Oreochromis niloticus: one gene and its partner. The protein of the gene in region 2 purifies or fractionates together with the protein of the main gene of each other region. This does not show direct contact. Links are inferred from orthologs where the notes say so. Each region holds a gene or a part of one and is shown on either strand. Other genes may lie near its edges.

What was found.
Region 1: the proteins of fyb1b (region 2) and lcp2a purify together in Homo sapiens (co-immunoprecipitation; 6 studies listed by BioGRID and IntAct, with this or other methods). This does not show direct contact. The link is inferred for Oreochromis niloticus from reciprocal best matches to the Homo sapiens genes FYB1 and LCP2.

Annotation. Positions count from the first base shown.
Region 1 is NC_031975.2:32,938,038-32,941,957, forward strand, and holds the start of lcp2a (lymphocyte cytosolic protein 2a), read left to right. Parts: upstream 1-888; 5' UTR 889-1,568; coding exon 1,569-1,646; intron 1,647-3,705; coding exon 3,706-3,768; intron 3,769-3,848; coding exon 3,849-3,895; intron 3,896-3,920. UniProt on the Homo sapiens protein: Adapter protein primarily involved in signaling pathways within T-cells, as well as other immune cells such as platelets, mast cells, and natural killer (NK) cells.
Region 2 is NC_031972.2:23,608,247-23,612,166, reverse strand, and holds the start of fyb1b (FYN-binding protein 1), read right to left. Parts: upstream 2,673-3,920; 5' UTR 2,658-2,672; coding exon 2,421-2,657; intron 1-2,420. UniProt on the Homo sapiens protein: Acts as an adapter protein of the FYN and LCP2 signaling cascades in T-cells. May play a role in linking T-cell signaling to remodeling of the actin cytoskeleton. Modulates the expression of IL2. Involved in platelet activation.

The DNA of each region.
Region 1 (3,920 bases), on a different chromosome or scaffold from region 2:
GAGCCCAATGATCTCAGTTTATCGTTTCATTTAAAACTGGCGTTTTAAAACAGATCATCAGTGTCATTGCACCGGCTCGCCCTCTGAAGTATGAGCTCTGTGTTTGCTCTTTCATATAAAATCAAATGTTGGTCCTGTGATAAATAAGCTCTTGAAGAACAACCACAGGTCTAACAACGTGGGACAGGTCCGTGTGTCCCCTCTCCCGCGCTGCAGGTTAGCATCGTGCTGCTCAAACATGAGGGCAACACAGAGCTGCAGGCTTTGACCTGAGCGCTGAGAACGAGCCGGACGCTCCCTGTCCATGATTGGCTGGGATGGACCACCTCCATCATGGTGGAGCTGTAACCTGCACGTGTGGACGGCACGCCGAGCAGGTTTCTGGGAGTGTTCCTGAGGCTCATCTGCTGAAGCTCACGGTCATCGGCCTCGTCCCACAGAGATTCCTCCAGGTTCTCTGAGTATGCAGATGAGGTCACGCTGCGTAGATGATGAGCTGTTCACGGTGAGGAACATGATTCAGGTTGGTGAAGCTCTGCCTCTCTGAGAGCCTCTTTTTATCCCCGATCATGTGACCGAGCTGCTGACAGGTCACATGATCAGCTGGTAAATCTTCTCTTCAGCACGAGCTTTTCTGAGACGGCTCGTTCTCTCACTTTAATCTTTTGTTTTCTGTGTTCGATCACGAATAAAATATGAGCTCTTGTTTTCGTCCCGACTTTTTCAGGTTTGTTCTGAGAGCTGCAGTTCCTCTGACGTGCAGCAGAGGCAGCAGTGAGCCCGTCCCCATAGACCCCCATGTTAAACAGCAGAAGTAAACATTTCACAGCCCGACACACAAACTGTTTGGGTAAACAATACTTTTACTTTGAATACTTGGAGTACATTTTTCAGAGCGTGCAGAGGTGGCTTGACTGCACAGATGCATGCTGGGTAACGGCCTTGGCCTTCAGCACTGATGGAGGTCCTCCGTCGGGCTGACCTGGGGTCGGGGCGGTGCCAGCTGATCCGGGGTTCGTTTGTTCCTCTGTTTGGCATTTCGACAGCGTCGCTGCAGCGAGTGGGTGCAGCTGCAGACGCTGTTCCGCTCTGTGGTCAGACGGGGGGTGGGGGTGATGCTGCCTTCATCCATCCCCCACTTCACTTCCTCTGAGTAAGAGAGAGAGAGGAAAGAGAGACGCAGAGAGAGAGAGACTGAAGGAGTGGAGGAGGAGGAAGCCATTTTGGGCCCGAGTGACATGTCTGCCTGCTCTTTGCTGCCTGCGCTGCCGGACGGACGCTCGTGCAGTTAGACCGGACGACTCGGTTTGGGGAAGTAAAAGCTGAGACGCTCGCAGCTCTTTGCTTTTCTGTCTTTCAGAGACGTCTGAGTCTTCACAGGAAGCGGCGGCGAGGCCCATTAGTCAGACGGTGGGCTGAAGGAGAACAACGGCGCAGAAACTACGAGCCCGATCACTTCCTCCGAGGCCGAGGAGCGAGCTCAAAGATCGCCTCCTTCTCTCAGATGTTAGCGTGCTCTGGGTCTGACAGCAGCCGGGCTGACGTCGTGCCTTTGAGCATCGAGCAGGATGAGTTCGGACCGCATGCCGTCCAGGTCGGACGTGATGGGGTGGAGCCCGCAGCAGCTGGCGGACTACCTGAGAAGGGTGAGGCCTCCATCCGTACTGTTCGTGCGTCCTCGTGTATGTCTTCGTTTTAAGTTCCTCGGGATCCTCCGAGCGGCGGGGTCAGCTGACTCATGCTCAGACGGCGCCGTGACCCAAACCAGAACGTTAGTGAGCACAAACAGCAGAGGCTCAGGTGAGCTGCTGCACCTGCCCGACACGGAGCTCGATGACACGTGGCGACCGCAGCTTCAGTGTTTGATGCCCTGTGTTTGGAACGTTGGCGTAGCGTGCTGATCAACAACATTTCAGTAAAGCTCTGGCTTAGACCTCGCTGTTAGTGCTGTGACCTCAGTGATGATGTCATTCAAAATGCAGAGGTGCAGTTCAGACGCTCAGTCAAACAATGGTAATAATGCAAACTTTCATGCGATTCAAACAGGTGAGGCTATTTATTTCTGAAGCGTCAGACGTGCAGCTGGCTTCATGTGTCAGCCCGATGCTTCAGGTGCTTTGTGCACCTGTAATTAAAGGCTGGACTGAGTAACTGTGGTTGTCTCTGCCACCGCTCAGCGTGATTGCATACAGCTTTCCTGCTGATCGCAGAGATGGTGACATTTTTCTGCAGAAGTTCAAACACTGTGACGTAACGACTCAGAGAAACAGCGGCTTTAACGAGGAAGTGTTTGTGATGCGTTTGGATAAAAGTCCCCGAGAACAGGGACAAAGGCAGCCGGGTGTCAGCAGCAGCAGCGTTAGCCGTTAGCTGCTCGCGTCTGAAGGCGGCTGCATGAAGAGGAGTGAGATGTGACAAACTGCTGGGTTTCCCCTTCCTGTGCATCTCTTATAATCTAAACAGTTTGTCTTACTTCAACTGACTTTAACATCTGATCACGACTGATTATTTTTAGGTCACTTAGCAGCAGTTTGATGGTACAAAGTATCGGAGCAGGCAGGTGGAGCAGATGAAAGCTGTACGTTGGCGCAGAGCCGCAGGAAGTGTCGTTATTTTCCATTTGGGGTTTGATGAGGTTATTTAAGGCCTACGGTGTTTCAGCATGCGTGCTCTCAGCGGAGGCAAAAATAGCAACAGGTGGGAGATAATAACTGTAACTTGTTACAGACGCGGCCAAACATTCAAATCATGGGGTGAACCGTAGAAGAAATCCCTGTGGGCTTATTTTCACTCTGAATGTCTCCTCACTGATCTCTGCACAACAAGCCTGCGGGACGTTCGCTCAGCGGAGACGCTTCAGTCCCGTGCAGACCGTCCACCTCCTCCCAGCATCCTCCTCTGTCACACTCTGTGCATGTCCTCCTTCACTACATCCATGAACCTCCTCTGAGCTCCACCTTTATCCTCCATCTTCCAAACCACCTCAGCCACTCTGATGCACTCGTCTCTTATCTCCATCTTCCACCTACTCCACCCTGCCTGCACTCTGTGCTTCATCAGCATAAAAGACTGGTTCTATCAGCGCGACACAACGTTTCCGAGCGATTCTTTTATAGCGTCTGATGTCAGAGGCTTTTAATGATTGGTGGATGCAGCCCACAGACTCCTTTACCACTCAGGCTGCATCATGTTCATTTATCAAATCTGTTCAAACGTGGGCTCGTTCTGCACCAAGAAGAAGAATCGCCTTGACAACACGACACGTGGAAAAGAGGCTGATGCCTGTTTGTGTCGAACCAGCTCTGTGAGCTCATCTCACTGATGCTGACGAGCTGCTCGTGCTTGGCTATTTTTTGAGAATCAGCAGGAAAGCTGAGGAAATCTGTGTGGGACAAAATGACGCTAACGCTTTAGTCCCGTCCATAACCAGTTACAGCTGAAAGTCTGGAGTGAGGCGGTGTGGCCAGCAACTGTGACATCAGAAACTGATTCTTATCTTTGCTTTGCGTCACTGCGTGTGTTAGTTTAGATGTTTCACATTCACAGAATCGTCTGCGGAGAACATCACGTCCATATGTGAGGAAGAATCAGTATTTCCTGGAAGACAAAAAAGAATCGCATAAGAAACAGTGATAATAAAATAATAATAATAAATAGATGTGTTCATATTTGAATGATATGTCAGCTGTGACGTCCCTGTTACAGATGAGTCTGTCCGGCTGTGACAAAGTCGTGCTGAAGCACTCCATCTCTGGTTCCAGATTTGTGGTGAGTTCAACAACAAGAAAATAAAACTGGAAAAGGAAAGAAGGGTGTAGGGAAGGATGTGACCCTGTTTGTTTTTGCAGAATCTGAGCGACAACGACCTTCAGAAATTCCCTAAACTTCATACTCCGTAAGTACTGCCCCCTGCTGCTGCG
Region 2 (3,920 bases):
ACTTTGGTATACAGAGGACTTCATGGTTGACTCAGTGACTGCAAGGTGCACATGTCCTGTGGCTGCAAAACAAACCCAAATCATCAGCATCATCCATCAATAAGCTTGACAGTTAGTGTGAGCCGCTTGTATTAACATGCTGTTTAGTTTTCCCCGAACATGGTACAGCGTATTATTATTACCAAACATTTGCTCTTTGGTCTCATCAGTCCAAAAGGCGCTGTTCCAGGAGTCTTGTGATTTTTTTCAGATCCAACTTTGTAACCTAAGCTGTGCTGCTCTGCTCTTTTTAGAGAGAAGAAGCTTTCTCTTTCAGCCTTTCCAGACACGTCATGCTGTAGCATCTGAGATGTAGAGCTCGCATTGCTCAGCCTCTCATTGTGGTTAATTTGCTGGTACATCCTGGGATATGTTTGTCATCGTGTTAACACATAGCTGAATCCTCCAGCTAAAACCTCTGTTTTTACTGAGGTGCTCAAACTTGCTGATGATCAGTAAACCAAGTGCATTTGCAGATGGCTTAGTCTGCTTAGTTTTTCACGATACTACATATACGTTATATTGAGTTTTAAGACTTAGACGCTTTTCTTTTTTACCAACTTCGCATTTGTTTTAGTATTCTAAAGAAGACGTGCTTATTGCTTGGATTATTTTGTATTTCCAGTATATTTTACAGATGCCAAAATGCCCCAGTACTGCACAGAAGTTGTAAGCAAACATAAAAATTTTGGCTACTACAGAAATGCTAGCAGTTAACATCTTATAGGCAAAAAGTTCCTGTCTCGAGACCAGGAGGAAAAACAAGCCCAGTCTGAGGGGCTCACGAGATGGTGTACTCCTAGTGCCGTTCCCAAGCAAGAGTAATTGGAAGGGATGTGTTAGGAAGCAAAACTGTCCCAAATCAAATATGAGCATCCAAACACTCTGGGGATCCTGTGGGAAATAAGGGAGGGACAGGAAGTACTACTGTCAGTACTTTAAGATGATGACTTTAGTTGCCACCAGTGAACATAGACCAGACCATGTAGGGAATTTCAAGTCTTTAAAAGCTACACTGTCTAAAGACCTGAATCAGCAGTGGGGAAGTGGATGGTGTTTTATTTGATACATTTTATTCTGCAGTGGGAAAATGTCACCATGTGCATTCAGTGTTATCAGTGAATGCACACGGCTATCCCTTGTCGACAACATAGCTTCAGTGTTGAAGAGAGAAATATCAGCATATGCTCTTTAACAGCCAATCTCTCGGTAAACTGAGAGAGACAGTGGGTGGAACTTCAATGCAGTGGTGCCAGTAACATCAACCGTTAAATATGTTAACGCTGAGCCTGAAATGCGGTTGAATATTAAATCGGTAGAAAGAAAAAGAGGAAAGTTCCCTCATAATACTTCTGTTTCTTAACCGCGGTAAGCTATAAATTGCTCAATATGTTATGTACAGGATTATTGCAGTTGCTTCTTCTCAAGATACGAGTGCACTGCAGTTGCAATTTTGTAAAAGTCCTGCAAATTTTGTCACATACCAGAAACACCTCTTGACAGGATAGCCATTTAATGCAGTACGGCTCAACGGGAACACAAAGCTGCCATAGTTTGTGTGGCAGCTATATACTTGCCTGAGATGGTTCAAAGGTTTGAACCATAAGTTTAATGCAGAGCTATTTAATGTAATTATAGTTATGAAAATAATTATATGTAAAATAATCCTTTGTTATGATGCAGGATCAGTGCACAAATAACATAATAACCACAGAGTCTTGGATGTTAAGCTAGTTCGTCCGAACATGTTTTCTTTTTTAATGTTTGTTCTTTAACAGAAGCCTTGTGAAAAGTGACCGGCTGAGAAATGACAGAGGAAGAGGAACCACGATTTCTATTTACAGTGTGATGAAAAGTGCAGAGCAAAGGTGCCTTGCTTAATCAAGCTGACACAAAACCCAGAACCACCAGCCCCAACTGTTAGGTTTAACTTTCCTGTTTTTTACACAGTGCGTGAAAAGAAAATTGGGACAAAAATGCTTAAAATATCAAACTATTTTTAACAAGTATTTTTAACACCTGGTTTGAATTCGGCATTTTACTTTACTTAACTTTAACAATCACCGAAATGAACATAGTGCAGCTTATGTTGACTGCTCAGAATACAAATATGACAACTCTGCTTTTGTCAGTGTGCACACATTAACTCGCTCAGAAAATGAAAATGTACCAGCTTGTAATAATAATCAAGTATGGCTGACTTCTAAAAGATACCAAAGCCTATGTTATCCTGTCACGATAAGCCGTCTAAAACGCACATAACAACAGTTCAGCAGTTTCAAGAGCAAGTTTCTTCTGTTAAATCCACAGTGCCCACTTACAGTATTTCAATCATTTAAAATGTGACGATTAATCATTAAAGTTTCTTAAGTTTTACTCACCATCTTGTGGACAACTTTCCCAGGCGGAGAGTTGGTCAACAACTGGTTGGTGGATAAAGGAGAGTGTTTGTTCAGTGTTTGTTCAGTGCCTCTGTGCGAGTTTCTGTTTCTGTCACAGAGAGAAAGGCACTGAGATAGTGACTGTTGATAGTGAATGACAAAGAGTGTGGCTGAGCATTGAGCATGTATGTCTGAGGGGGGGGGTGTATACTCCCGTTCTTTCGGTGACATAAGCATCTGTCTACAACTGACTACTTCCTCTCTTAGTAGTATGTGTGTTTTGTGTGACTGTGGGTGTCACAACTTCTGTTATCTCCGTGTTTTGATCTCATTGATTTGCCTATCCCTGGCAAATTCCCTGCAGTTTCCCTCTGTGCTTAACAAATGATGTTCACTCAGTCAGAGGCAGGTCAAAATGAAAAAACAAAACAAAACAGCCACAGTCAAAACTGTTCCATAGCAACTGTGTTAAAGAAGTGTTATAGCTTGTATGATGAAAAGGTTTTTGGTCAGCAGTGCGAGAAGACAACAAGCCATAGCCAATGAACAACATTAGTAGACAGCACAGGAAACATTGTGGTCATATGAGCGGCGCAAAGAAAAGACAAGCATATAAGACCAGCGTACATCCATGCTAGTGGCTCTTTGAAGCCATAGAAGTGCTTTGAGCTAAATCAGAAGTGCCACAATTCAGTTCACAGAGGGGCAAACTGGTAAATGACAATCACATAAAGGGCCAAGCTTATATATATTGAATTTATCACATTGCCTCATGTACTTTATGCAATTGTGTTTTCACACACTTACACTTTAAGTTTATCTTATCATGTTTTCAAATGATAAGTCAGTGGTTTTATGGGAAATTTCATAAATATGAAGAAAAAGACCTTCGATGGTGTTACTTACATACACTATTCAGAGTTCTGACATGAAAATTGGCTGCATGTAAGGATTTAAGAATTGTAAATGCACAGTGTAGTTTTTCTGTTGTGAGAAAGTGAGCTTTACAGCTTCACTAAAAGAATACTTATAGTACGGTGCTTCATTTAGAAAACCTCTGTTAATGCTTCATGGCTTAGGTGTTGTTGTGGGTGTGTGGATTCAAAATGGCAATGATGATTACAAATAATCTTGTAGGAAATGCACAAGGGTAAAGAAGTAATTTATGTAGTCTGCCACTTCTTCATGAATTGTCTGCCTTCAGCATTAGCAGTCTTCTTTTTTGCCAGTCTTTATTAGCTAGCTTATTACTCTGCATGTCCAGTGTCTGGGGTACCTTTTGCTAAATTTTGCAAGCGCATATGTAACTGCAGGCGATAGCTACAGCTGGGTGGACCGAAATTTAATCAGAAGATTAAATGATAAGTAAAATTTGCAGAGAAGTTTCAGTTTCAGCATGCTAACAGCTAATAAGCTCAGTTTAGAAGTGAGAACACACTATTTATAAAGAGCAGAAAATACAAGTGTCAACACAGGCTTTCTGTGAAAGTTGAGTAACTC